2 linked regions of the Astyanax mexicanus genome follow. The protein of the gene in region 2 interacts with the protein of the main gene of each other region in a pairwise test. Links are inferred from orthologs where the notes say so. Each region holds a gene or a part of one and is shown on either strand. Other genes may lie near its edges.

The links.
Region 1: the proteins of phaf1 (region 2) and bcas3 interact in binary tests that used the Homo sapiens proteins (3 or more experiments, as listed by UniProt). The link is inferred for Astyanax mexicanus from reciprocal best matches to the Homo sapiens genes PHAF1 and BCAS3.

Annotation. Positions count from the first base shown.
Region 1 is NC_064425.1:942,873-958,721, forward strand, and holds the start of bcas3 (breast carcinoma-amplified sequence 3), read right to left. Parts: upstream 6,367-15,849; 5' UTR 6,280-6,366; intron 2,938-6,279; 5' UTR 2,920-2,937; coding exon 2,849-2,919; intron 1,425-2,848; coding exon 1,370-1,424; intron 364-1,369; coding exon 288-363; intron 1-287. Other genes in the region: nlrx1 (NLR family member X1), read left to right, coding at 13,233-13,341, 13,468-13,537, 13,636-13,715, 14,901-15,523. UniProt on the Homo sapiens protein: Plays a role in angiogenesis. Participates in the regulation of cell polarity and directional endothelial cell migration by mediating both the activation and recruitment of CDC42 and the reorganization of the actin cytoskeleton at the cell leading edge.
Region 2 is NC_064416.1:22,467,516-22,483,546, forward strand, and holds the start of phaf1 (UPF0183 protein C16orf70 homolog), read left to right. Parts: upstream 1-10,139; 5' UTR 10,140-11,409; coding exon 11,410-11,473; intron 11,474-12,158; coding exon 12,159-12,241; intron 12,242-12,410; coding exon 12,411-12,494; intron 12,495-12,582; coding exon 12,583-12,626; intron 12,627-12,968; coding exon 12,969-13,048; intron 13,049-13,688; coding exon 13,689-13,783; intron 13,784-14,969; coding exon 14,970-15,067; intron 15,068-15,533; coding exon 15,534-15,646; intron 15,647-15,893; coding exon 15,894-16,027; intron 16,028-16,031. Other genes in the region: foxl1 (forkhead box protein L1), read right to left, coding at 4,623-5,708. UniProt on the Homo sapiens protein: Plays a regulatory role in autophagic activity. In complex with BCAS3, associates with the autophagosome formation site during both non-selective and selective autophagy.

The sequences.
Region 1 (15,849 bases), on a different chromosome or scaffold from region 2:
ACCTTATTTACCTGGATTTTAATTTAAGACATTTTAAGACTTTTTAAGGACCCGCGGGAACCCTGCTAGTGCCACAGATTAGCGCTTTAGATGCATCAAAGTCTGATAGAATGACTGCAGTTCCCGGTTTAACTGTATGACAAATGACTAACCAACAATATGCCACGGGACAAACAATTAAACAGATATATGTGCATTAGAGATGAAACAGAGAAAATATAGGAAGGTTTAAAGGAAAAGAAAAGCGAAAGAGAAGAACATAATTTTTTCTTAAAACAAAATCGTACCGTTGATGTCTGCCTTTTCAAACCGAACCCATATGATCTTTTCCTTCTCATCTGTTGGAGGTGCACCTGTATATGCCTTAAAAACAAACAAATAGCAACTGTTTTTTTTTTAACTAAGAAAAATACATTTCTAATCAAGCATGTTTATAAACCATGTTTATAGTGAATGTCCACTCCCCTTTTGATATAAAAAGCATAGTATAAAGCATAAATCACAAAGTGAAAATTAAATAGCTATATTTCACTGCCAACCGGAATTATTAAAAACACAAACAAAAAATGTAATAGTTTGTCCTCATTTGTGTAAAAAGTCAACATATTTTTATTACACTTTTTGTAATTAATTAAATAATACTCATAGGTGCAAACATATTTTTAAATTACATAATAAGGCTGCATGTGCCTTGATGCTAAAACAGGCCATGTTGATCATTTGAATCATTTTAGTTTGATTTTTTTAGTGTGATGATGTAATATGGTGCCATATCACCCACCCCTAATTATCACATCAGGGTTCTACTTTTTTACTGTTTTTAACAAAAGAAAAAATCACACTGTTCTCATTTCCCATTATATATCTACTAGATACAGATTATATCTGTCCAGTATCATTTATTTTACTTTAATTCTGGATATATGGAGATATTTGGAGTGTAGCATTATTATTATTATTATTATCCTGATATTCTGGATCATTGACTTCTGTTACAAATCTGATAAAAAATCTTGTATTTTTTTTTTTATATCTCAGTTAGGGGTGTGTCATATCATATCATATTGTACGCAATAGTAAAATTAATTTTCATTTTGTTGCAGTAGTGTATTCTTGATTATTTTTTTTAATTCAGTGTTTTGTCATGTCGACAAGTGTATCGTTATCATGAAAATACTATGAAATATTGTGATATTATTTTAGGGCCATATCATCCACCCCTAGGGTACACTACCATTTGGGGTGAGAGGCAAGGCTTACTGAGCCACATTTATCATATTAAAGAACTGATAACGTCTATGTATACTTGTATTAACATGCTTAATAACTCAAAAGAAGCATATAGAAGAAATAATATAAAAGAGCTTACCTGAGGAACCACATCTTGCAGAAATGTCACAACACTTTCCATGTAAGACTGTTCCCTGTAAAAACAGAAAAACAGTTAAATCACAAAATGTAAAGGCAAAACAATGTACACTTTTATAGATTATATAAATTTCATTACAAAGAATGTACAAGTTAGCTTCCCTGCGTTATCCCTCTAAGCACATTTCCCATTATTTAACTTAATTAAAAGTTATTTGTCGGTTCACATTCACTGTAAATGTAAGTGATCTGTATCTGTGTGTAATGTGAACGAATCTGTTCCTGAAACACCGTCTCACATGCTGCACATTGATACCTGTATAAACGCCTCCTTCTTCACCAACAACAAAAGCCCTCATATTAGAGAGAGGAGAGACTCGTAGGTTTATAAAGGGAAATGGATGAGTTAGCAGCTCATATGTGGAGCATCTTTTGCTGGAGTGGAGAGTAAACAGCTGCTCTGAAGTTCATGTTCAGGTCCAGGAGGAGAAAAAAGGCCAGGCGGTTTGTTTTTGCTGAGAAGCACGTAGCACTATGCTAATGCTAATGCTAATGCGTAAAAGCAAAAAGACGCGCACATTCAGATTTGACCGTTAATATTAATGTCACATATCCGTGGATCGGATACATATCCGATTTAGGACTACATATGAATGTGACACAAATCTGATTTGAAAAAATAGCATTTGGCACGTTCACACAGCCATGAAAAAATCTGATCTGAGACACATTGAGCAAAAAATCAGATTTGAGTCACTTCAGTCTGGTAATGTGAAAGTAGCCTTGAACACATACAGCTCGTAAAAAAAATTAAGAACCACTTCAGTTTCTGAATCAGTTTCTCTGATTTCGCTATTTATTTATAGGTTTGTGTTTGAGTAAAATTATTTTTTTTTATTCTATAAACTACAGACAACATTTCTCCCAAATTCCAAATAAAAAAATATTGTCTGAAATAACAAAAACCTCAAATAATGCAAAGAAAACAAGTTCATATTCATAAAGTTTTAAGAGATCAGAAATAATCAATATTTGGTGGAATAATCTTGGTTGGTTTTTAATCACAGTTTTTTTCATGCATCTTGGCATCATGTTCTCCTCCTCCACCAGTCTTACACACTGCTTTTGGATAACTTTATGCTGCTTTACTCCTGGTGCAGAAATTCAAGCAGTTCAGTTTGGTGGTTTGATGGTTTGTGATCATCCATCTTCCTCTTGATTACATTCCAGAGGTTTTTAATTTGGTAAAATAAAAGAAAATCATCATGTTTAACTGCTCTCTTATTTTTTTCAGAGCTGTATATTGATATTAGATTGCACAAATTGATTTCTACTAAGCACAAAGAAAGAGCAGCATAAACACTGACTAAACCTTAAAGAATAATAATCTACAGATGAGTCAGACAACAATCCATACTGACCCCAAACAGACACGACCATAAACCAACAAACTACAGAAGAGGAAGAGTTTTGTTCTTACGTTGCAGCCTGAGCTCGAACTACGACCCCTCCAGCACAGCGGCTTGGTCTGCGTGGGGAGTCAGACGCCATGATTAATCAGTCAGTATCCTGAGGGAAGAGAGAACTGGTTAAGAAGGGCAAGTGTTGAGTAATTTGGTGTTTTTTGCTTTAAGCACTTATACAGGGTAGCCCACACTTCTTTTTAATAACTACATTACTGTCATAATTTACTACAACTTCCTAAAGTTGAACATATAGAAAAGGAAAAGATATCAACATCTATTTAAAAGTACCCTGAAAAACACATAAAAAACATAGTCAGCACTACACAACCGTTCATACAAATTACATATACACACACGTTTGTGTGTGTGTGTGTGTATATATATATACACACACACACACATGTGACATATATATATATATATATATATATATATATATATATATATATATATATATATATATATCACATATAGATCATCCACACAACACTAACACAACCATAATACACCTATAACCATCCTATTCATACAGCACCTTTAACCAAATGTTTCTATATGCACACACACACGAATACACACAAACAAATGGCAGATACATATCTTTATTACTTCTGTTTCTTTATCTCATTATTTATTATCTCATTATTTCATATATCTCTCTATTCATTCCCACATTCAAAACAAAAAGCTTATTTCCTTCTTTATTTCTTTATTTGTTTTTGTAGCTTTTGTATTTTTGTATCTTTGTGTTGTTGTTCTTTTTCTTTTTTTTTTTTTTTTTGCTTTTTTCCTTCACACCCCCCCTCCTTTTTGCCTGTTATCTCCTTATAAGTTATCTCCTTATAATATGCACAATGACCACAGATACTACAAGAGTAGTGTGCCTCTAGCAGCAGAATTTGCTTTGGCTTGACTTTTATTTTAATTACTTTCTCAATAAAACAAAAGCTGAGTCAGATCTGACCTAATACAGAACCACTGCATTTAGTAAAGGACAGTGGTCGTTTCTGCATATTATAAGGAAAAAATTGTATGAGCAAAACAGGATAGAGGCAAAACAGGCAAATAGTACAAAACAACAACAAAAAGAAAGCAAAACAGCATAAAAAAAAAATAAATAAATGACTTTTAGGAATGAAAATATGACAACATCTAATCAGTACTATGTTTGTTTGTTTTGTTTTGTTTTTTGGTCACTGCAAAACTGTGGGTTAAGGATTTTAGGATTTTTGCTAGTTAACTAAATAACTAGTTAGCTAGTTAGCTACTTCAGTGAACAGTTATTTTGGTCCACTTTAAAAACAGCATGAAGCTAGTTAAGTTACCTAAGCTATCTATCATTCTTTTTCAACACATTTCATAATATACCTATTCACAGTTAAACATTATTTTAAACTATATTTTAATGCAGCAGAAAACAGATATAAACTCTTATCAGCTGTTTATATCTGTGCGGATTTTTGGAGTTCTGGCTCTCTCATTCAATCCTAAGAAACTAACCTATCTACTGAATGACTGGCTTTAAATGAACGAGACTATAGATATGCAATACCAACACATTGAAGTATTAGTTAGCTACCTAACCTAAGCAAAAATGTACTCCTTGCCATGAAATGCTTTTAAAGACAGTCTGCTCACACAATGATGCTTAAAATACTTAAAATAATTCATATTCTTTATCTAAGGAGAAAGAAGAAATATAAAATTAACTTTTAAATATAAATTGTAACTAACAAAGTACTTAGAAATGTAAAATAAAACTATAAAATATGAATTAACAGTGTAAGAAATACTACTCGCAGGTTGGTTAGCTTAGTTACTTATTGAGCTAGTTGGGTAAGTTAGCTACTTCAGTAAAAACAGTTATTGGTCCACTTTAAAACAGAATGAAGCTATAGTTACCTAAATAAGCTATCATTCTTCTTCAACACAATTCATAATTAAGTTATTCACAATTGAAAAACATTATTTAAAAGCATATTTTAGTGCAGCAGTAAAAACAGATATAAACTCTTATCAGCTGTTTATCTCCCTCAGACATTTCAGCATAGCTTAGCTTTAGCTAGTTAGCAATACCTCCTTAAACCATTGTGGACATAATACAGAAATAATTATATAAGCAAAATAACAGGCATACTGATATATAATATCTACAAAGTATAAGTAAGTATAAATTAGCTAATCTAATTAAAAATTTACTACTGTTCTAGCCATCAACACTATCATATCCTACTACTAGCAGGTGAATTAGTTAGTTCTTTGTCTATAGTGCAAGTTATTGTGTGTATTGTGTATATTGTGTAAACTGTAAGGTTAACTGTGTATATTGTTTTTTATTTTATTATTCTACTGTGTTGTAAATATTGTTCTCTGCATGCTAGTGGGAACCTGCTCACAAACTTTTTCATTTACCTGTACACCTGTATTTTGTGACGTTACAATAAATATATTTAATCTTGAATCTTATTTATCTTGCTAGTTAACTAAATAACTAGTTAGTTAGTTAGCTACTTCAGTGAACAGTTATTCTGGTCCACTTTAAAAACAGCATGAAGCTAGTTAAGTTACCTAAGCTAACTTATCATTCTTCTTCAACACATTTTATAATTAAGCTATTAAACTCTTATCAGCTGTTTTATCTCCCTCAGACATTTCAGCATAGCTTAGCTTTAGCTAGTTAGCAATACCTCCTTAAACCATTGTGCATATAATACAGAAATAATTATATAAGCAAAATAAGAGGCATACTGACTATTAATCTATAATATCAACACAGTATAAGTTCTAGCCATCCACACTATCAAATCCTACTACTAGCATGTGAATTAGTTAGCCGTTTGTCTATAGTGCAAGTTATTGTGTTTATTGTTATTGTGTGAGTTGTGTATACTGTAAGCTTAACTGTTTATTTTTTATTTTATTTTATTATTCTACTGTGTTGTAAATATTGTTCTCTGCATGCTAGTGGGAACCTGCTCACAACGTTTTCATTCACCTTTACACCTGTACTTTGTGAAGTGAAAATAAATATTATTTAGCTTGCTAGTTAACTAAATAACTAGTTAGCTAGTTAGCTACTTCAGTGAACAGTTATTTTGGTCTACTTTAAAAACAGCATGAAGCTAGTTAAGTTACCTAAGCTATCTATCATTCTTTTTCAACACATTTCATAATATACCTATTCACAGTTAAACATTATTTTAAACTATATTTTAATGCAGCAGAAAACAGATATAAACTCTTATCAGCTGTTTATCTCCCTCAGACATTTCATCATAGCTTAGCTTTAGCTGTTAGCGGCTAACTGTCCCTCTCTCTCAGACACACAGACCCAGCATTACTCTGAACACAGACAGTAATATCTGCAGACCCCGGACTCCCTCACACACACCGCTCCGCTCAAACAGCGGGAATAAAAACAATTTACACTCATATTTACACTCACCTGCAGCGCTGCGCCTCAATTCAGCTCTATAAACACAGATCTTCCCAAAACGCGACAACAACACCGCGCAGGCTACGTACAGCGGAAACAACAAACCTAAGAACCAATGGCAGCGCCGCGCCGCGGGCGACCGACCAATCACATCGCGCTGGAGGCGGTACAGCTTCCACGTTCAAAGCCAATCAGATTGAGTCAAGAGCTGCATCGTTTCTTTCAGTCACTTTGGAATAAACAATAAAGTTTAGAGGAATGTAACTATACACAGTGGATTGTCTTAAAAAAAATAAAATAAATAAAATAATAATAATAATAATAATAATAATAATAATAATAAATAAATAAATAGCATTATCATACAGACGCATGCATTTATTTAAATTATTTTTTTTATTTTAATTAATGTAATTGTTATATTGGATAAATACTCCCAAATGAATGACTAAGCACTTGCGTAAGAAAAAGCTCTGAATAAAAGCGTACATATGTAGTTAAATGTAATAGTAAACATCATATTTTTATTCTTTTGTAAAAGAAAAGGAAAATGCAGACCCTCTTTCGATATGTTTATTTGTGAAGTTGCTTATATATTTTTATTTTTTATATCTTTTATTACCATATATGGTAAAGCAATAAAATAAAAAATAAAAATATATTATTTGTCCTTTAAATGTATTTATTATGCTCCTTTGTCATATGCATGTGTATCACCTCTTATTCTTTAATTGAAAGTTGCATTAATCATGATGCACTTTAACCTTTTCTCCTTTTTTTAAAGCACTGATTTTTTCTCCATTTATACTGTAATTGGTGGTGATTAAAAGAAAAATATGTTTGTGTGTGTGGTGTGTGTACTGTGTGTGTGTGTGTAGGGGCAGTTCAGGTCACGTTGCACATATTTGGCCAAAGTAAATACAGTACATGTACCACAAGGGCTACAAAAATGCTGCAAAAAATTACTTTTTATTGTGTCATTTATTTTCATAATATGTAAATAAAGCAAGATTTAATTTTTAAAGCTGAGATTTAATTATTTGTCTATTTACAGTAAAGCTTGTGTGTTTGTTATATGGCCAAATATTAAACCTTGTGTTTTGCATGTGGTAATCAGTGTTGTGATAATCCAGTGTTGTGCTGAAACATTACTCTAATTTGACAACCTCACCATTCTACTGACTGTATTTTGCAGTCATATACATAAATATTATACTCTGTCAACATGCTCATGTGGGGCTAACGTGTGTGTAGTGTGCATTTTTTTTTACAGGGGCCTAGTAGAGCTTGAGTTGATTTCACGTAGGTCCCATCTAGAACCCCTGTTCATTAGTTGTTTTATGCTGTTCCCAGCTCCTAATCATAAAGCCCAGTTTCCCAGACAGGGATTAAGACTAGTCCTGAGCTAATATAGTGATTGAACTGAACATACCCATTATAGCCACAAGATGGAGCCAACACATAAAACATAAGGATACAGTAGAGCAATGTATTACAATATAACAGTATTTTTCTGCACTTTTTAGTGCATTTCCAAATGAAATATATGAAATATAAATATATAATAATATAATTATATATTGTTGTTTATTTTATAAACTATGGACAACATTTCTCCAAAAATATAAAATAAAAAATATTGTCATTTAGAGCATTTATTTGCAGAAAATGAGAAATGTCTGAAATAAGGAAAAAAAATATAGAGCTTTCAGACCTAAAATAATGCAAAGAAAAAAAGTTCATATTCATAAAATGTTTTAAGAGTTCAGAAATAATCAATATCTGGTGGAATAAACCTGGTTGGTTTTTAATCACAGTTTTTTTTTCATGCATCCTGGCATCATGTTCTCCTCCACCAGTCTTACACACTGCTTTTGGATAACTTTATGCTGCTTTACTCCTGGTGCAAAAATTCAAGCAGTTCAGTTTGGTGGTTTGATGGTTTGTGATCATCCATCTTCCTCTTGATTTTATTCCAGAGGTTTTCAGTTTGCTAAAATCAAAGAAACTCGTCATTTTTAAGTGATATCTTGTTTTTAGTTTTACAGAGCTGTATATATATATATATATATATATATATAGATATATATAGATATATATAGATATAGATAGATATAGATAGAGGGGTGTTGTGCTGTGTGAGTACAGGAAGTGTGGGTGCTGTCAGGCTGGACTGAACGATCGCAGGGAGACATTTCTCTGTGTTTTAGTGACTGAAATACAACAACCTGACTGAAGCTGCGATGAGATAATGCTCAGTTATTGGTAAGACCTTCTTTTAATTTAGTTAATTTACACAGATTACCCTGAATAACGCTTAATAATCCTTATATCCTTATTCTTCTGCTTAGTAACTCAAGGTCGCTGCTCCGCTGCAGCAGCTAAGATACAAACACAGAGACTGTCTATGTGTTTACACCGTTTAACTAATAAATAAATAGCTTATATACTAAAACACAGGGAATAACAGACTCAGACAAACATACAGCAGGGCTTTAAACTCTTATAATTAAATGCAGGAACAGAGCTGAGCTAAAATAACCGCGTTTACAGCGAATAAAAGCTGTATATTGCAGAGGTAAACACAGCTAACTGAAGCTAACCTACCGTTAGCCTCTTCTCCATAACCTTAACCTTAACTAGCTAAAGCTAGTTACCATAGTAACATAACCTAGCTAAACAGCAGTGAATGAATAAACGATTATCTATCGATTAATATTTATTGATTTATTGACCCACTGAAATGAGCTGTACCCCTGTATGAATGAAGTATCTGTAAATATAGACTGTATCTGACAGCTGCTGTTCGTGTTTTATTATTTTTGCCCAAATTATTCAATTATTAACTGTAATGTGCTGCCCTGTGTTACTGTAATGTAACGTTAATGTAATTTAGCTAATTAACTGCTTTAAAATGCACCAGGTATCACAATTCTGCTTTTTATAACATACTGCGATACCATACTGTGTTGTATAAACGTGAAAATACAGAAAATAGTGAAAATAATGTGCTCTGTTCGTCATTGATTTCTTAACCCTCCTTTTACATTTAAATTTACTAGATAACTTTTTTTTATCCCAGGAGTCAATTTGACCCCAGCAAGTTTAAACTCTGGAAAAGGATCATATAATAAATAAAACTGTTACCCACGTTTATGTCACGTGCTATATTTGTTTAACTGCTTAAAATCCTTAAAAAAATAAATAAATAAATTGATGGTATATTTAGTTAAGAGAAAAAAGTGTTCAACTATTTAGCTGTATTATTATTATTATTATTATTATTATTATTATTATTATTATTATTATTAGCTGTATTATTATTTTTTATTTATTAGTAGTAGTAGTAGCATTATGACAAATGTTATTTGTATAGCACCTTTTTAAACTCCGCCCACAAAGTGCTTTACAGAAAATAGAATACAAACAGAAATGGCTTATGAAAACTTATGATGCCTTTATGTCACCTTTGCCAGAATAAAAAGAAAAATAGCAAATTAAAAATACAATAAAAACACCAGTCAAACGTTTGGACACACCTTAAATTAAGTGTTTATCATTCTTTTATTTTTTTTCTGCATTGTAGGTTAATATTAAATTCATGCGAACTATGAAGAAAAACATGAAATTGTTTACTAAGCAAAAAAGTGTCCAATTTTTATTATTATTATTTTATTATTATTTATTTTTCTATGATAAATGATATTTGTATAGCTCCTTCTTAAACACAGCTCACAAAGTGCTTTACAATATACAAAATAGAATATAAACAGAAATGACAAGGTTGTGACGTCCTTATGTCACCTTTGCCAGAATTAAAAGAAAATAATAAAAAGTACCATAAAAATAATTTAAAAAAAACATTTGAATTGATTGATTTATGAATATAGTTCCCATACTCTAAAGAAATGAAAGATATGCTATATTAAAACTGAACAGCCTTGAGTACATCTACCACAGGTGTTTTGTATGAATGCATTTTATTTGTAGTTATGGCCACGGACATATTACAAACAATATTACATGTAAAGAAAACACCTTCTGTATCTAACCTAAACATCCAGGTCAAGATCAGCTTTTGCATGTTAGTGGGTTTTGATGTGCTTAGCTGTTTTTTGACGTCCAGAAAACTCAAAGCACTTAACAACACAGCAATATAGGCCTATCGCAATAATTCCAATATCGATTTATCATACAATAAATGAACATGACCTCAATATTTTTTGATAATCGTGATATTTTTCGTCTATTGTTATTATTTGCATGTTTGATCACATATATAACAGTGAACAGTATTTTGACAAGTCATGCTTCAATAACTGTTACTTCATAGTATATTTTTATGCTATTGTTATCATTATGTCAGTGGCATTTAATAGTCTTAAAATGACAAAAATATTGTGTATCGCAATAATTTCTTAGACAATATATCGTCCACAAAAAACCTTATAGTGACAGGCCTACAGCCATAGACAAAAGGTATAGTGCATAAAAACAAGCATGCATACAATCACTTACACGTTACAGTGCAAGTATTTAAATAAAAAAAAATGATAATAAAATAAAATAAAAAAATAAATAAAGTATACAAGTAAAGATATATTAACAGCAGTAAGCTTCCCTAAAAAGATGAGTTTTGAGTAAAGAGTTACGGCTGTCTGCAGCACAAATATTTCTGGGGAGCTGATTCCTTAATATAATGTCCAGTTAAATCCACTTAACATTTTAATGTCCATTGCATTAGAAGCCTGTGTTTAATTTTTTTTATATATTTATTTGATATTGACCTTTTTTACGTCACAACCCATTCATACATAATAGTACATAATAATAAAATAAACTCTAAAACAACAATTAGCAACAATTAGCTTTTATTACTTTGCCTCGTTGGCTTTAGAGTGCTGCTACACTCTAATCCCTGAGCTGCTGTTAAATGACTGTTTCATTGGCTTGTCAACTTGTTCATTGGCTAGTTTTTGCTCTATTCTGATAGATTCTGTTAGTTATTTGCAAAAAAAAAAAAACATTAAAAACTAAATTGCACGATGTCCATTGTAATAGACGCAGGGTTTGAAAGGAATAAACCTCTTTTTGTCAGGAACGATAAATATAGGACTGTGTAAATGATGATGAGGCTAATTAATGTGAACAAAGATGGAAATAATGTCTTTAGATAAATCTGTAAAATCATATTTTTACACAAAAAATAAAAAAACACACAGATGCACATCACTTGGATTCTTATTCCAGTTTCCATTTTCGCATTAAACACGCATCAATTACACGCTAGCTGCTTTAACGTAATAAGAATGTGAACTGCTAGCGTTACTTCTGCATCATTTTTAAGGGAAAGAGGAACAGTGAATACGGAGCTAGTTTCTGCTTTCTCATTTCTGTGAGTCTTGCATGCTCTATTACAAAATTATAATTATAATTAAGTCTTTCCATTAGTTCTAATAAGCATTCTCATGAGTTTACTCATGTTTTAAGTAAGATTAGTTTATTTAAAAGGTTATACTTTAATGCAAATACCAGTTAAATTAGTGAGAATACAAAAAGCACAATACTATTAGTGTGAGAATTATAAGGGAGCTATTTAAATGATGGCCTCATTTGGAGATTTGCATATTCAAATTAATGATGCCAAGCATGAATGGCCAGTAGTTTTAGGGTATTTTCACTCCAGCACTGTTTGGTTCAGTTAAAACAGACTCTGGTTGGTTTGTACCCTTAGTGTGGTTCGCTTGTGGTGAGAACGTGATCTGGTCTCAATGTGACTCTATCTCAACTTATACACTCCTTTTATTTAAGCAAAACTGCTGATAAGGTGCAGTTTAATCTGATATATTAGCCAGATAATGCTAATTATCACAGCTATGAACAAATGCTGTATCTGCTGCTCCATGCTGTTTACACACTGAGCAAGGGCTGTGCAGTGTAGTGTTCACTGCTCGCAGCCACGTGACCTTGTTTAATAAATGTACATCTGCAGTGAACGTCTTATTAAAAACACTGTGTTTAAAAGCAAAGCAGCTTCACACTGCACAGATATACAGATATACACACCGGAACACAGAATTTTTTCCATATATTTACTTTCTTGCTCCCATGCCAGACAGCTCTGACCAATCAGAGGAGACGATGTCCTTGCATGGTTTATTGGTGCGCTTTTTTTTTTTTTTTATAATTTTATTAAATTTTTTTTCCATTTTTTCTCCAATTTACAAGGCCAATCACCCCACCCCCTCATCAGGACACCCCCAACACACCAGGAGGGTTAAGAAGACTAACACACGCTTCCTCTGATACATGTGAAGTCAGCCACCGCTTCTTTTCCAGCTGCTGCTGAAGCTGTAGCATTTCCGAGTAGCATCACAGCGCTAACACTCGGAGGAAAGCACACAGACTCGGTTCTGAAACATCAGCTCACAGACGCCCTGTGCTGCAGACATCACCCTAGGAGTGATGTGGGGAGAGAGCGCCATCTACTGTACCCACCCGGAGGGAGCAGGCAGCTTGATGGTAAAGCTGCATGAGCGGGGGTTCGAACCTGCGACCTCCCGCTCATAGTGGCAACGCTTTACCACTCGGTGCTTATTGGTGCACTTTTTGGTGCGTTTAGGTTTATGCCTGTGTAAAACCAAACCAAACAGAGGGAGAAACTGAAGCTCCAAATAAACACAAACTCATCAACTGATCCGGATCATAGAAACCAAATTTAAAAAAAAGTAAAAAGCTATAATGACCATTCTTTTAGGTAGGAAAGCCATTTCTCTCACCCCTTACTCTGTTAACCAATGTTGGCTTCAGTTCTGTTTTCTTTTCTTGTTAGCTTATAAACAATTGTACGATGCTTCCTCAAGGTGAGAGGCATAAAAATCTCATTTCTCTTATTTTGTGTGTTTTTAACAAACAGTGTTCTGTAATGTTTTATATTAGGTGGGGTCTGGAAGGAGAACAGAATGTGGAGATTTGGGAGGACGACCAGAACAGGAGTTCTGAAAAGGACAAGATCCTGTGGAGCTCAAAAAGACAAGCTCCAAAAAACATACCCAACCTTTACACAGAGAAGTACAGTTATCTCATTTATCTTAACTGCCTTTATATACAATCTGATTAATTTACAGCTGATTTGCATTCAAACTCTAATTTCTGTTGATTTACTGATTTGCATTATATATCTATATTCTTTATAAGGGGCTAATTTAAGTCTTCCTCCAGTCGGTGTCTGTCATGCCAGAAAGACTGGGCCATTCTTATTTCCTGAGTAAGATAATATGAATTGAACAATCTCATAACAAATAGTTTTATTATTTTTACTTTTTATAGTATAAATGAATAATTGAAGTCATCTGTCTTCTGTAGGTGGATCGGTCTCTTTGGAAGTTCATGGAGTTCTTCATCCTGTGCCGTGAGGTTGTATTGTTCTGGCGCATCCAACACAGGTGAGTTAGGATTTTGTTATTTTTGATGTATATTTTTGGGGTTTGCACTAGGGGTGGGCAATATGACCCCTTAAATAATACCACGATTTTTCAAGCTATTTTTATGATAACGATACTCTTGGCAATATGACAAAACAAGGAATTAAAAAAAAAATAATCAGGAATACACTACTGCAACAAAATGAAAATTACATTTTAATATTATTGCATATGTTATGATATGGCGATATTAAAGAATACAAGAATTTTATCAGATTTGTCACAAAAGTCAATGATACAGAATATCATGATACTAAATAGTCAAGTAAATTGCCAAAAAAAGTTGTTTAGGACTATCCTGTGTTGCATTCTTAAGTTTAATAAAATGAACAAAATAAATAACAGGAACGTATTTGTCTTAAACTAGGGCTGGGCTGTTCATTAAAAATTAACTAAACATGACAGACATTCATGACCAAATTGAAAACCTCAAAAGCCATAAAACCAAACTGAACTGCTTGAATTTTTACACCAGGAGTAAAGCAGCATAAAGTTATTTAAAAGCAGTGTGTAAGACTGGTGGAGGAGAACATGATGCCAAGATGCATGAAAAAAAAAACTGTGATTAAAAACCACCACGGTTATTCCACCAAATATTGATTATTTCTGAACTCTTAAAACTTTATGAATATGAACTTGTTTTCTTTGCATTATTTGAGTTCTGAAAGCTCTGCATCTTTTCTGCATTTCTGGAATTTGGGAGAAATGTTGTCTGTAGTTTATAGAATAAAACAACAATGTTCATTTTTACTTAGTTGTATTAGTACAAATAAATGCGGCACTTGGGGAGACCCATCCAATATGGCGGCCAGCTCCAATAGATGGCACCGGTCTATGTATATTATTTCTATGGATGCAACACAAAAGAGACATCGTCAAATACTGAGCCATTCCTGGAGCTCAGTGGAAAACATCATGTCCGTCAAATAATCGAATGGTTTATTGATCGTAATCAATAAAGTAAAGTAAAATGTTCAAATAATCCTGTTAAAGGGTTGTCTTCATATCGCCCAGCTTTATCCCCAATTCCCAGTTATTGGTTATAAGCTATTATAGAGTATTTATACTTTTAGAATATTTTATTTTTCATTTATTGACTATTTTTATTTTTATTTAATTACAATTTTTCTTGTTTTTGACCCACAGATCCCATAGAGATCCACAAACACAAGTTAATGCTGTGGTTTAATCACTTACCTCAGGAGGAAAAGCAGTTTGGTGGGTACTTTTCTCCTGAGACCATGCACGTAGAGCCACTCATCCTGGAGAAGCGCCCGGAGGAGGGTGAAGGCTCTTCCATCAGCCCGTACAGGGAAAGTGCTTCAGTGAGCAGATCTCCCACAGTGGATCAGCTCTTTCACCTCAGTCAGAGCGAGGAACATGGCAGAGGACTCAACGTGCTGCTTTACGGGGCCGTCGGTACGGGGAAGAGTACGGTCGTTCGTAAGCTGGTGTTGGACTGGTGTTCTGGATCAAAGCTCTCCCAGTTTAAACTGGTGGTGCCCTTCTCTTGTGAGGATCTCTGTCGTTCGTCCAAACCCATGTCCCTCAGGGACCTTGTGGGCAGGAAGTACATGCACCTCCGCAGGACACCGTTTCTCAGCGGAGAGGGAGACCAGGCCAGGGAGGTTCTCTTCATCTTTAACGGCATGGAGAAGATGAAGTTAGACTTTAGGATTGGCTCCAGTGAACTGTGCAGCGATCCTAACGAGGTCCTTTCATCAGAAGCTGTTGTTGTGAACCTGCTGAGGAAGTACCTCCTACCTGAGGTGTGTGTGTACGATATTGCTAAATATATTGTATATATGTGTGTGTGTGTGTGTGTGTGTTGCATAGAAGTGGGCAATATGGTCCTAAAGTAATATCTTTATATTCTAGGTTATTTTCAAACAGCATTTTTGGTCATATAACAAAACGTTAAAATATACAGCTCTGGAAAAAATTAAAAGACCACTACAGTTTCTGAATCAGTTTATCTAATTTTGCTATTTATACTGTAGGTATATCTTTGAATAAAATGAACATTGTTCAAATAAAAAAATACTGTCATTTATTTGCAGAAAATTAGAAAAATATGAAATGGCTAAAATAACGA
Region 2 (16,031 bases):
GTGTCAGCATTTTCTTGTTATTAATGAATACATTAATTCAAAGGGGTGTCCACAAACATTTTGATTTAGTTCACTGTATTGTATATAGAAAAGTATAGACTGTGTATAGTTGCAACACCATTTTTACTGCCCTCAGAAACTCGAGTAGTCCACTCTTCTGCTCTGCCCCTAGGTTTAGCTGCTCTGTGAGAGGAAAAAAAAGAAACAAAGAAAAAACTTGCACTCATATTTGACGTTTCTCACACTGGAGCACTTGTGGTCCTGAGTGCAGAAAGAGGGAGCGTTCTGTTTCCCATCAAAATAAATGAGAACAAGGAGACGACCCTCTCTGAGACTTATACGTGGATCTTGTACAGTTTAAACACTTACGAGGATCATCTTTCTTTTTGCTGTTTATTTGAATATGAAGCTGCAGAAAGAGTCAACCCAAACTGAAAATGCTGCTCTCTGATTTTCCCTCTAATCTGCGGCCCATCAACGTTGAGTTGTTGAGAAAACATTCGCCATGTGCAATATTATGTTTGTGGAAAGATGAGGAAGACTGAGGCATGGTTCAGTAGGCACTTTCTCTGCACTGGTAATTATATGTCTGCTCATAAAATGGCCATGTAATTCATTAAATTCACTTTTATTTGTTTTAGAAAAAAAGGGAAATTTAAATATAATATGTAGACTGACACACGATCACAGTCATAACACACAAAGGCCTGATACTGTAATGGTCTTTGAATGGTAGGTGATTTGCAGACCTTCCAGCTCAGTCTGGACCTGATTTAATCTAATGTAAAGGGCCTATATCAAGGATTTATATTACATTATAGTTTGTCTGCTTGCATCCTTTTTTAAAGATGTAGTAGGTTTATATATACCAAAAATAATTTGAGTTGAACCTCTCATTATCACCTAATTAAACATGTTGATTAGTTACTGAACCTTTAATGCTTCAAAATTACTTTTTTAGATGACAGTAATATTCCCATTGAATTTTATGACTTTACACAAACGGTCAATCCTAAATGGGCCACGTGGAGGAGTGAATGAACATGAAAAGCTAAAATTATTTTTTAAAATTAAAGTTATTCAAAGTACAAGCTTGTGGTATGTAGTAAATTTGTAAACAGGCTTTTTTTCTTATCCCAAAAAAGACCAGTAAAGACCATAGATGTAGGCATATAGTCAGAATGTATTGTCAGTAAATTGTTTGAGATGTAGGTTGGAGGAACACAAATTTGCTTTCTTAGCTAAGTGTTCTATGAACTCCAGCTGCTGTATAGACTTGTTCAGTTCTACCAGGATCTAATAAACAAATAAATCTATAAACACTGGGTGCTGGGTGGAACCTGTAAATACTGTCCTTCTTTAATGAGAGCTTTGGAAGTTGATCCTAACATATACAATTACAGTGTTTTATTTAATTATATATTATGTAATATTTTCAAACAAATAATATTTTGCCTTTTTGGTACCATGGTTTTTTTATTTATAATCCAAACTTTTTCCCTTTTTACCCCATAATAAGAGTTGTTCATGGATGCATTGTTTGCAGATTGTTACATTTACATTGGCTTTTATTTGACTGCAGACAGCATGAACTATATATAGATATTTCATGTTTGTTTCTGAACAACTTAATATACAGTACATGCATTCCTGCATTTTATGCCTGCAATTCATTCTAAAAGACAAAAATCATATTATCATCCCCCTGTTGTAGTTAATACAAAGATTAGTCACAGGCACTAACAGTCCTTATGAGATACATGCAAATGTGCTGTGTTTTAATGTCGTCACAAAAACAATGATTTTTGAAATTAAAATCTGCAGTTTAATTTCCATAAATGTTCTGTATTGACAAATTAGACTAATATTTTGAGTTCTAGCATATAATAGATATACAGTAAGGGTCACAATGTAATGATTAACTAGTAGTAGAGTCCTGCATGTTGCTAAGGTTACCTGTTTTGAATGAGTTGAATGGGTTCTAGTACAAACCTTTAAACACTAAACAGATCATTCTGTAAGCTTCAGTACCTTTGAGTGTGCTGAGTCCAGTGACTCTAGACCTGGTCACTGACTAAATGCCCCATCTCACTGTTTATTAGAGTTAATTATTTGAGAGCACTTTGTACAATCTGCAGCCATGGGTGTAGAGTGTAAATGTTGACATCAAGTCCTAATGAGTTGAACTGACTATCATTTTCCCTTCATTACGGGCTTATGAGATCCTACTGGCCGGCTGTAGAGTGGGCTTAGTGGTCCGGGCCTATAGAGCAGCCAGCGTCACCGCCTGCTCCATCTAAGGAGCCCATCTGTGAGGAGGAGGACAGATGGGAGCCGCTGATTGAGAGACACTGCCTCTCTCACTCTTTCCCTCTCTTTCTCTCTCTCCAAATGTTGGGTGGATGTCGTTCTATTTACACTTCTGACCAAAAGAATCCTATACACAGGAAATGCTTGTGAATGTGAGTTCCCCTTGCTCAAATGTGGGGAAGTTTATTTATTTCCATGAGCATTCCTGATTCGCACTCTCTGAGGCTGCAGTGTGAGGCCACTGCGCTGAGTGAGAATCATGGCTATATATAGTGGCAGTGAACACGGCGGCGGCGGTTACCGAAGGGGCTGGTTCTTTGTACTAAGATTAGACTTTGTCCTAAAGATAAATAAAATTTATTGAGGAATTCTATTTAAAAGTGTTTTCAGCTTCTGTATTTGGTCTCACAAAATAGGCACGAGCCTTCAGGTTCACATCATGAAATTTAGGCCTAAATTGTGAGCAAAATGACCTTGTCCTGTTCAAGATCATGTCTCTTAAAGAAGCAAATCCTTTTTTTAAAAAAAAGTGGGTTTTGAGCGATAAATTATACAAAGACATACGTAGATCTGAACAAACGTATTTACTTATGTGGAAAAACAACACTTTATTTATACAACAGGCATCAGTTGTGTTTGCATCCCAGTCTTTCTTCCTTTTAACATCTGAATCAGACAGTTTCACCCTTGCTGTGTTTCCTTTCCCACTAAAAAGGTTCACAACTGTTTTCATCCATGAGGTACTTAAGGAGAGGAGAGAAGCTACGGCATTATACAATTTGTAATTTGTCTTGTATTCCTATTACAAGTGCAGAAAGGAGCATAATAAAAACCATAGTTCAAATAAACATTTACATTTACACAGCAACATCCGCGAGGGTTTGCGTCGCCCGGCTCTCCGCGGGTAATCCATCAACAGGAGTAACTACTGTCAGCCATTCATGAACCTGCAAATGGGCCACCCAGGCTGTGCCAACCCTGAATAATAATAATAATAATAATAATAATAATAATAATAATAATAATAATAATAATAATAATAATAAACTTCACTTTACGGAGAAGACAGGTTATGTCTTTTTCAAGCGTTTCTGTATAAAATATTAAAGTGTTAAAGTTACTGAATCTTATCCAGTTATTACAATAAAAAGCTGTAGTTTAAAGTTTACAAAAAAGAACTTATGGGCTGGATTCAGGTACTGTGGGCCATCAGATAGCTCAGGACAATATATTGTTTTAGCCACCCCATCTCAGTGTATGTAGAATGTGTATGTATAATGGGCACATTAAGAAAATTAACATTTTTTTGCTGCTTAATACTAAATGCAAACTCATACTGTTCTTGTTTTACATGATATATCTCCAACAGTCAATCACATCTGCTCAGCATAATTTACTCCAATCTCCAATACACAGACTGCATTATAAATAGCATGACATGCTGGATCACTGACTTCTGGTAAAATCTAGAGAAAATACTTGAGTCTTAATGTTGTAATATCACACGAAAACAATATTACAATGTCAGTTTATGTTTGTTTTCCATTATAGCACAGCCCTTTACACAGTGTGTTCCATAAAAATAGGAAACAACCTTTTTGAAAAACATAAATGCATAAATGGTGCTGCTTTACACACAACATTCCTAAACTGCACCAGCAGACATTATGGAAGGTCAGATTTATTGCAATTGATTGCAATTAACACTGTGAAATCCCATATATATTAGAATGCCAGAATTAAAAAGCTATTTATATGGGCAATAGGATTTTATTTATTAAGTAAAAAAACACTTATATAATAACATTCATCCAGAAAAAAATAATTTTACATTAATGTGTTCATTTAAACATCTCCAAAAGACCCATTGTGGAGTCATAGATATGTATTACATAGAACTGTATTACATACAGTTATCATCCAGCAACTGATTTGGTAAATCAGCCCTTAGTAATATATTAAATCAGGTGAGCAGGTGATGGAATTGATTGGATCTCATCTACTTTCTACAAATGAAGAACTGCAGGTGCACTGTTCTTTAGTGTGATCTGGAGTTTGTACCAGCAGAAACTTCCTTATTGCTGAGATTAATTGTTTTAAATAATGTCCTTTACAGGTGCCTGAAACATCTGTACAGTACTGTACATAATACAATTCGTGCTGTTACAAATGCCATAAGCTATAGATCCTAAATGAGCCCCATCTACTCTCAGCTGGAGGTGGGAATAAACAGGTGATTATTGAATTGTCCTTTGATACCTGATGGCCCGTATAGCTTAGCAGTCCAGCCTCTGTCCACAGCTGCTGCTCACTCAGTACAGTCTCTCTACAGACTCCTCGCTGTAGCGCGCGCTCTCTGAGGCAGGCCACGTCACGCGTACGTAGGAGTGTAGCGGCTCGAGCACGAGCGGCGGCGGAGGCAGCGCCGGTGTGCGCGCCCCGTCCGTGCGTAAGCACGCGCAGTTCCGCTGGACCGCGCCGACCTTCCGCGCTAGGATGCTCTCGATGCTGAACGCCTTCGCCCTGTCCGTCGCCTTGCGCACCTCTGGCTCCGGCGCGCTCCCGGCCAGCGGGGCGCGCGCTGCGAGGCTCTCCGGGTCCGTTTTGTTTTTTTGCAGGGGAGAAGCGGGGCTTTTAGACGGAGAGACGGACATGATCGCGCAGTGGCCAGGCTTGCCAGTTGTGGAGCTTTTGCGCGCGGAGGAGTTGGGTGCGCGCACCTCTCCATGACACCGGACAGCAAGTTTGGTACTCTCCCCGTGATGCTGCTCCTCCTCCTCCTCTTCCTGCTCCGTATCATCTTCATAATCTTCATCTCGCGCCCCTTCTCCCGCCACAAACCTCTCTTTCTTGTCGTGGAGTTTGGAAACAGGGCGCGCTCCCACCCGTGCGTGTCCTCCACGAGCCCTCTTTTGAAGCGCCTTGTCGTCGCGCGCCTCCTCCTGTCCCCGGGCCTTCCTCTTCCTCCGCCGGTAGTTGCCGTTCTCGAACATGTCCAGGCACTTGGGGTCCAGCGTCCAGTAGCTGCCCTTGCCCGGGCGCCCCTTCTCCCGCGGCACTTTGACGAAGCAGTCGTTGAGCGACAGGTTGTGGCGGATGCTGTTCTGCCAGCCCTGCTTGTTGTCGTGGTAGAAGGGGAAGTTGTCCATGATGAACTGGTAGATGCCGCTGAGCGTGGCGCGCTCCTCGGGCGCGCTCTTGATGGCCATGGCGATCAGGGCGATGTAGCTGTAGGGCGGTTTCTGCGGGGGCTCCCGGCGTGCCGAGGCCAAGCCCAGCGCCGGGAACACGCCACCCAACTCGCCGCCGTACACGTAGATGAGGGGCGTCGAGCCGCTGAGGCCCAGCGCCGAGGCGCCCAGGCCGGCCTGCGCTGAGCGGTGGTGGTACAGACTCATGACTGGCTGCTGGACGAGAGTTTCAGCCCGGCCGAAGAGCGGCACACTGAGTCCATAGAGCTGCCGTTGTGGTGGCCGAGCGGCTCGCTCTACCTTCTCTCTGAAAAATGTTAAATAATCGTTGTACGTTTGCTGTTTTATGTTGACTTAGCGCTGGAAAATAAATCGGCTATGATAAACACTCGCTGGCTTCTCAAGCCCACCCACATTAATTAAAAGTTTCATTGGAGAGAGCGGGAGAGAACCCGCTGTTTTGCTTTACACCCGCTTTCAGGGTGTCCCCGCCCACACAAGACAAGCCACGCCCTTCCAATGATACTATTGGCCGCTTTGACTTCTCATACCCGTTTTCCGGCATAGTTGTTGTTTTTCCACCTGTTTTACGGTAAGCCCTATAGTCTATAGTCTGATTGGAAAAATAATAACTATAATGGAACTATAAAAAAAACATTTAAACCAAGAATAAAGGATCATGAATCATGAATGGATCCACAAAGCTCTATAAAAAATAAGGAGTCTAAATTTCTTCAGACCGTCTCAGTACACACGCAAGACTCGTAGACAATCACAGCCCAGAAAGGCGGAGCTTGCCGGAATACAGGTGGGGAACGCCCCAGCTCTCAGCCTCGTGTCCCCTCGCAGCCAGCCAATGGCTTGCTCGCTTATTCCCCTCATTTGTTTACAGAATTAGGCTGTTGATAAGTCTTGCCCACCCAAGACGAATCAAGCTGTGTTTATTTGGAAAAATTTCCGGGCACCCAATACATAAACGCGCTGATCTGATGTTTGAAATATCACGTCCACCCCTCGACGCTGAGAGTTGCTCGCACAGAGAGAGAACAAGCAAACACGACCGCGACCGCTTTCTTCTGGGACTTTCTTTCAGGGACTGGTTGGAGAGAAAACAAGAGAATGTAAAGAGGGAAATAACTTCAGGCTCGCAGCACTTTCCCAGCGAACAGGAAACGTTAGAAGAACGTTCAGGAACATTTTAAAAAGGTTCCAGGGACGTTATAGAGAAATAAAGTTACAGAAATAACGTTAATTAAATAATTAAAATGTAATTAGATGTATTAGTCGTTTGCGTTACAACGTTACACACCCAACCTTTTAAAACGGATCTAATTAAACGTAGACATGATTTTATTTATGCATAATAATAACATTGCATTACTTTTTGTAAGATGACTCTTCAATAATGGTAAAACAAGTCTAGACAGATTAAACATTCTGAGAATCAAAAGTCATAACATTTAACAGACCTTCATGGTTTTCACTGAAACCCTGGGGTGTTCCTTAATATATAAAAAAACAAGGATGTATTTGTTCCTATCAACAACATTCTTCACAAGTGACCTTGCAAGAACACAATTGCAAAAACACAAAAGCAGATGACAGCTATAGAGATGCTGTGTACTTTATATTTTTTATATTAAATTATACTAATGTACTCTATAATGGTAAAATCTGCCTTTCATACTGTTTAATTAAAGTGAACTGTGAACTTTGGATGAAAGATTTCACAATTTAACATCTTTTTGCCTTCATGTCAGCACAGAATTTGCAGTAAATTATGAAAAAATCCATTCATTCTCATTAAGAAAATCACCAATCAATCATTCTTGGTATTCTTGAGTATAGGAATGTAAATTAGACAGTTGAAGATAACACTCAAGAACACACCAGAATGCATATTAAAAAACAACCTTGTGTCTACCTGCACCATAATCCATATGTGTATCTCATTTCATTGTTTAATTTAATTTTGTTGTTTTTTATTTTAAAATACTTGAGGTAAGGTTTTGTTCACAGGAAAGTCTGTGGAGCTTCATGAAACACTTGTGGAAAGTTGTGTTGAGTGCAGATTCTGCATATAATCTTAACTAGGTCCACATTTGAAGAAGCATCACAGTTGTGAGAATAGGGTGGAAGAAAGGGCCTATGACAGCAGCTATTTCCAAAAAAGGAGAACTTGGCTGGACACTGGGGTAAACTATATTATTTGTGGATGTGTGCATGATGCTTTATATTATGTATTTTCCTGTTTATAGGAGTGAGGGGGATTATAACAACTTTACAAGTGCACACAGCTGGCCCGTGATTACATTACGTGTTTGGAGGTTTCAATGGATAAACTTAGAAGTTTTCCTGAGTTTGACTTTTCTCTCCACAGACAGTGATTCATAAAGTTTTAGACCAAAATACCAGACCCAACAAGCAATGAGCCTCAACGTGTGGGGACCAGACATGTTCTTCTGTTTGACAGCAGTCACTAACTTTTTTTTATGCCAGCAAATGAATCTGTCTTGGTAAGATACGTTCTGTGTGTGATTTACTCTGCACGAATAAGTAACAAAAAAAAAACACTAAACTGATCAGAAACTTTTTATACAACAATCTGTAGCAAATTTACCTTCAAATATTAGGGAGAATCATTGTCTCTCTGGGTCATCAGTACTGTGCTATGATAGAGCTGAATGAGACCTCTCAAAAGAACTGCTTGATGTTGGCAAAATGATTAATATTTTTGTAAAATCCTGTAATATTACCTTAACAGCTCAGTTCATGTCCTTCTTTCAATTCATACGCTGCTGTATTTGCTGGTTCTGCATTTCTTAGTTTGACATTAAATGCATGCAACTCCAAAGCATCTTAACTCTTACTTGTATTCACAAATTGGCACCATAATACTGTTTAATGTCTGATTCCAATTACATACCTGTATTCACACCCGAAAGTCTGGATTGAAAGTCTGGAGCCTGTATCAATGTTTGTTACATTGCCTAATTGTGATTTCACACTGCAGTTTAGTGAGCAAACTAAATAACTTCCTATCATCATCAGCTGTATGTGGAATGAGTTATCCTGCACTGTGATTATCCTAACACTGGTTCATCACACCCCTAGGTTACTTTATGACTAAATTTAGAACTATATCATTATCATTACAGTCCCAATTTGTAATATATTAATTTGTAATATATTAATTAGAGGATCCCCATCCAGCACAGCACCAGCCAGGGGAGGCAAACTGCAGACCTTAAGGGGACCGAGTACAGCTGCTCTTAGCAAACTGATTTAAACATTAAAATTATGATTCTGATTCACTGCAAGTTATTTGTGAGGTGGATCAATTGTTTCTGAAGCAGTAAATAGTTGCCAGTGTTCAGAACAAGGAGTGCCCTAAAGCAGGATTTAAAAAAAAGTAAGCTCACAATGAAAACTATCCTCAAGTTTATTTGAGTTATTAATACTGTGGGTACAGAGAAGGTACATATCCTGGATAATGGCCCCTAATTTGTGCAGTTTTCTCAAATAACTTTTCAGTTGTGCACCCATTAAAACAGTCAATTACATGCTGCCCTCTGGTGGGAGAGAGAGAGAAAGAGAGAGAGAGAGAGAGCATATCTGGCAACGGTTTCAGTAGGAACAGTGACTAAAGTGACATATTATTTTTACCAATATATATAAATATATGGTATTCTTCATTAGTCAGAAAATGATCAAGCATTTCATGTGTTGGATCAGATAAGTGACAGCAGAATTTACTTTTATTTTAATTCGAAGGCCAGGGGTGTCCCCAAGATTTGATTGCTATCTCTGAGCAAATATGTCAAACCGTTATTCATGTTTGTTAACATTATCTTATAGCCTTGATATATCATATTACTGCCACAGGAAAAAAGGTGATTAAGGATACAAGATAATATACTGAGGCAACAAAAATACATTTAGAACACAAGGTAATATATTGTCTCATGGTCTCAATTTTGTATCTTGTGGCCTCTAAATAATATGCTACAGCCAAAAGAAAACAATTATTAAGGCCAAATGATAATATAGTTAGGCCACAGATGTATTGTAATGTATTACCTTATGGTGTCAATTTCGTATCTAATAATAATATATATAATATACTGAGGCCACAAGAAACCATACAACTTAATATATAGGTATAATTAGGTCACAAGATATTATCTTATCTATTATCTATCTATCTATCTATCTATCTATCTATCTATCTATCTATCTATCTATCTCTCTCTCTCTCTCTCTCTCTCTCTCTCTATCTCTCTCTCTCTCTATATATATATATATATATATATATATATATATATATATATATATATATATATACCATTCTGAGACAACAAAGTAATAAATTGAGGAACAGTATAATATACTGAGGCCACAAAATAGTAAACTGAAGACAGTAACGTTATAGTATAATATAAAGGGGGTTCAAATATGAGAATGAGGCATGTGGAATAATGTATTAAATGGAAGTAAATTAGGTTAGGTTATCTTTTTTAATCAGTTAAATTGGGCTAAATGGTGAGGTATCCGGCGTGTTCAATGTTTTAACTCTGTTTAATGACTGCTAATTTGAAAAGGCACCACCGGAAGTGTTCCTCCCGCCGCACAGGAAGCTGAAGTATCAGCTGATGTTGGTGTTTTTGATGGAAGTTGCGGTGGGAGCTGAGCGGGGCTGTTTATTCTCCTCAGCCCGAGAGAGAGCACTCAGCGCCGGACACGCACCGAGACACAGCACGGCTACACGCGGCACAGCGGCAGCGCGGAGCGGAGCGCCGGAGGAAGCGGAGCGGAGCGCTGTGTGAGGAGGAGGAGCGCGGTGTCGGAGCTGTCTGTCCGCCGCCACCGGAGCCGCTACTGCTGCTGCTGAACCCGAGCGGAGAAAAGAGAAAAACAACAAGGCGAGGCGGCGCAGGACAGCCGGATCCGCTCACTTCGGACAGATCACCAGTCGGATCCTGCTGCTTCCGACCTCAGCGGGACGGAGATAACCGCCTGGATATCTGATAGGAGATAGACAGAAAGAGCACAGCGCTGAAGTAGAGCGACAGGCAGACTGAGGAGTAACGGTGTTGTTTTTATTGTTAGTGAGAATCGACAGCTGACGTGTTTTCAGTTCAGGAGACGGGGCTAGATTGCATCATCGGACTGGATATCTGGTTGTAAGTTTGGCAGAGCTCGACTTTGGAGTTCAGAGCTGCCGTGTAACAGCAGATTTTCAGCGGGTTGTGTTTTAAACCTGTTTGTTGTTGCTTTGTTTCTTTTTGTAAACGCTGTTGAACTCGTGAGTCAGATCGTCCATATTTATTGTTCTGGTTTGGCAGTTAGGTTAAGTTAACAAAACTAACTTAAGCTAGGGTTAAGTTTACCTGTGTTTTTTATTCAAGGTGAAGCTTTCATATTTAACTAGCTACTTAACCTAACACACTTTTTAATGTGTTTTAAAGATTTTTTTCGTCAATTTCGATTGTGTTTGGGTAGCTAGCTAACCTGGCTAGGTTAACCCAGCCACCTAGCGTTACCTTGGTAACTAGTTAGATAGGTTAGCTAGCTAGGCTACTTTTTTCACATTATTTATTTAACCAATAAACTCGCTGACACTGTTGAACGTGGGTAAGAAAAGTTAGGATGGTATTTTAACGTTAACTTCGTTAATACTGAAAGCCGTGTTGTTTATTTAGCTTTGACAGTATTGTTCACGACACAAGCTAACGTTATCTAGTTAGCTATACGTTGATGTCTCTTATAAGAGAGGCGGAGCTAAAAGCTGCTGCGTAACAACAGCGGGGTCTCTGTCATCCGCTCAGTGTTAGTTAGTTAACTAGTTAGTTAGTGTGGAAGGACAGGTCCAGATCTGGCACAGTCCGAGAACCCCGTTGAAAACCCAATGCTGGATCTGGAGGTGGTTCCTGAGCGATCTTTGGGAAATGAACAATGGGAATTCGCATTAGGTAAGAAACAAGTGCTAGGAAAATCCCCTTAGAACAAAGGTTGAATTACCTCATGTCTATTTGCACTCAGCTCATGCTGCTCTGTTCAGTTATTGCCTCACATTTAGCTCTGGAAAAAAATAAGAGACCACTTTAGTTTCTGAATTAGTTCCTCTGATTTTGCTATTTATATGTAGATGTTTGGGTAAAAGGAATATTGTTGTTTTATTCTATAAACTACAGACAACATTTCCAAATTCTAAATAAAAATATTGTCTTTTTGCAGAAAATGAGAAATGGCTGAAATAACAAAAAAGATGCAAAGCTTCCATACCTCAAATAATGCAAAGAAAACAACTTCTCATTCAAGGTTGAATATTTGGTGGAACAACCCTGGTTTTTAATCACAGTTTTCATGCATCTTGGCATGTTCTCCTCCACCAGTCTTACACACTGATTTTGGATAACTTTTTGCCACTCCTAGTGCAAAAACTCGTGTGGCCATGCATCTCACTTTTGATTATATTCCAGAGGTTTTTAATTTGGTAAAATCAAAGAAACTCATCATTTTCAAGTGGTCTCTTATTTTGAATTGGCAAATTGTTCCATTGAACAGATCTGCTCACTGTAAATTTTTTAATTTTAATACAAGTAATCATGTAACGCAAGGAAATAACTCACTGTCTGCCCCTGTATCTGTTTGAAGGGATGCCATTGGCCCAGGCCATTTCCATCTTACAGAAGCACTGCCGAATTATCAAGAATGTCCAGGTGCTCTACAGCGAACAAGTAAGGCCAGACAGATCATTATTGTGTGAGAAAAAACATAGAAAGATCTAGTGTTTGAACAGAATTTGTTTTTTTTACAGGTTGAGGTGAAAATTAATAATGCATAGCTGTGCAACTGTGTGTCATTTACATCCTCTACTTCAATCTGACCTATTCTTCTGACTTGCAGATGCCACTCAGCCACGACCTCATACTCAACTTGACTCAGGATGGAATTAAACTGCTGTTTGATGCCTGCAACCAGAGACTAAAGGTTTGGAACAAATCATGTTAATGTTTGTTTGTCTATGCTTTTTAACATATATTTGTCCATTTCACTAAATGTTTGTTGGTATTTGCAGGTAATTGAAGTGTACGACTTGAGCAAAGTGAAACTGAAATACTGGTAAGTGGATTTATTTTAAATGCTACTTTGTGCGCCTATAATTTTAAGCTTGAATATTGATTCCTCAGTCAGAAGAAAACAGAAGAAAAGAGCAGGGCCAGGCAAAAATGGGTTGCTGGCAACTGTGCACTTGTGTGTAAAATGTTATCACCAAGACACTTGTACATTCACTGGCCACTGAAAAGGCATCTTGTTCTATGTTAAACTGATCTTTTAAAAAATGCATGGTGGCCTAAAGGGACCTTAATGAGATGTAGCACCATCTGTTGGACAAAAAACTGGCTTAATGCGAGTTAGTGTGTCACCTCAGTTCTGCACAAACACTTATTTTTTGTTTTGCAGTGGAGTACATTTTAACTCTCAGGCAATAGCACCTACCATTGAGCAGATTGACCAGTCCTTTGGCGCTACTCACCCAGGAGGTAATGCTTTCAGTCTTTTTCCCTGACTGTAAAGAGTATTTAAAAAATACAGATTTCGTCACTTTATGCTTAAATCAACTGTGGAACAATGCAAACCTGGGCATTTTATTTATCATCCAAAATATTCATTTACACTATGTATATCATTCGTATTGGGACCCCTTGTGAAGTTTTTATGAAATCTCATTCTAAATACAAAGTCATTTAATATGGTGTAGGTTCCCCCTTTTCAGCTTCTAACTCTCAGCAGAGCATTGCAGACTTATCTGTACTATGTTCCTCTGCTGTCTGTTAGCCTGCGTTGTAACTTTTTATGGTTCCTAATCACGTCTACTTATCAATATTACAACTCTCAGCTGAGCTTGAAATATCCAAATGGGAAGAAATTTCACCAACTGACTTTTTGTAGTGGTAGCATACAGGGTGTGCCCACCAATTCTTTCTTTAATGTTTCTAAATGCAGAATGCATGGCTATCTCTGGCAATGGGACTGGATGAAATGCCTGAATTGCTTTTGTCTAAACGTTGTTTCTATGTGTGATGATAGTAAAATAACTTTTTTCAAATGTAGTCCATCAATATGCATTAAAACATTTCAGAAAGAAGGTTTTGGTGTTAAGTTTTTGTTTTATGTTCCCAGTCTACAATGCTGCAGAACAGCTCTTCCATCTGAACTTCCGTGGCCTCTCCTTTTCCTTTCAGCTAGATTCATGGAGTGAAGCCCCTAAGTATGAGGTAAGCCAGTCAAAACCCCCCGCTGAGCCCTGCTCTAACTGTCTCTGATTGTTTCTGCAAAGTCTTTACCACTTTTTCAAGATTTCGGCAGTGCAGCCATTAAAACATGCTATTAATCACATTTTTTTTTAGTAATCATTCCCAACAAATCACATTTGTATGTGTTAGTCCAGTATGAGTTGGCAAATAAGCATGACCAGTATTGATTTATTATTTATTACCTTAATTTATTCATTTAAAATTAGATGTTCATGGATGATATTAATTGTATTGCACGTTCTAACCAATGACTGTAAATCTCATTTGTTATTACATAAACTGTCAACAGTTCCTCTCTAGTTATAACCTCTGTCTTGAAGAGTCTCTTGAGAAGAACTAACACATTGCTTTTGCTCGCTTTCTTCTCATTTATTTTTCAGTAGTTCTCCCACAAGTGTAAGGTAGTCTGCTGAAGGTATTGCTTTAAGAGCCATTGTTAAGACCTTGAACTACAGTAATAGAATTATTGGTGCTGTATTAATTTAAATTCTTCTTTAAAATGGTCTCACAGTAAATGTTGTGGTAAGGACAGGTAAAAGGTTCTATTCTCTTGATTGTTCCATAAAGGACATAGATTAGGACAGTGTCAACAGAATGTGGTTTGGCTTTGCTTTTATAGCAGTCTTATGATCAGTTTTCTCAGAACAATTTGTTGTGATGCTTTGCTGTCTTCTAATGGACTTTTGCTACCTTGTGGATCTCAGTTATGTACATTTTCAGAATCCTAGGCAGTTTCAAAGTAGAACATTGTAAAAACAATGGCCATTATACAAATATATATTTCAGATCTTGGTTTTATAGTCCAGATGTTTTAATTATAAGTGTTTTACTGGTATGTGTTATTCTTGTTTTATTCATGGTTTTGTTCAGTATTAGCAGTTCAGTCTGTATTGCAATCATACAGTTAATCAAAGAATGACTTACTGAGTTCTCTGGTTACACAACCAGCTAAGGTTTGGCCCATCACTGAGAGAAAATTGTCACGTTAAGTCAAGCTTATTTATATAGCTCTTGTTGATCCAGAGCTGTAATTAGCTGCTTGATAATGCTATGCTATGAATGTGCCAGCTTTCTTTTTTGGCCTTGTTTGCTACAAAGCAACACCTACACATGCGTGCAACTACTCCTAGTTGTTTTGCCTTGACAGCCTAACTTTGCCCATGGCTTGGCCTCCCTGCAGATTCCTCATGGGGCTACAGTCAAGCGGATGTACATTTACACTGGAAACAACCTTCAAGAGACCAAGTAAGAGCTCTGTGTATTTGTGTGTGTACACATGCCTGTACATCAGCACCGTGTGTGAAGTGTTCAAAAAAGGACAACACTGCTATCTAGTGGTCAGGCTTTAATAGATCCTGTGGTACAGTATTGCAAACCTAATGGGACTGTTTTCCAGACGTGGATTAAACCTAGTCTTGGACTGTGCAGCATATTGTATGGATATTTCCTATTGAAAGAACAATGCAGTGTAAAACTAGGCTTTATCCCTGTCCCTGTCTTAGATCTATCTATATATATATTTGTTATTTATTTCTTCATTTTTGTACAGTACATTAGAGTGCAGAGTGGACTCATCAGAGATCAGAGTACGAGTATTATTTAATGTACCATTTCCTTTCAGATGCTGTAAATGACCAGGATGTTGAATTAGGTTCAAGCAGCAAACACTTAGCGCTCTTTCTCTCTCTCTCATTCTCTTTCTCCCTCTCAGGGCTCCAGTAATGCCCCTAGCCTGTTTTCTGGGTAATGTGTATGCTGAGTGTGTAGATGTTCTGAGGGATGCGACGGGGCCACTGGGTCTGAGACTGCGGCTTCTCACTGCAGGTACAGAACTTGGCCGCGTCCCCTGTGATGCCAGTGTTCTCCTGTTTACTTGATTTTATACTGTTGTTTTAAAACAGCAACTTTGTGGAAAGGTATTTATGTGGTTTCTTATTAGTTTTGTGAATATTTGTGAGATCTATAAAAACTTTGTTTTTCCTCTCCACTGAGAGGCGATATGTTCTAAAACAAATTCAGTGTGCCAACAGTGTCCCAAGTTCAGAGTTGCATGTTGAATATTCCTGCTTAGGATGTGGTCCAGGAGTAATGGCTGATGCGAAAGTGCGGGCCATGGATAGAAACATCTATTTTGGGGATTCCTGTCAGGACGTCCTGAGTGCTCTGGGCTCTCCACACAAAGTCTTCTACAAGTCCGAGGACAAGGTAG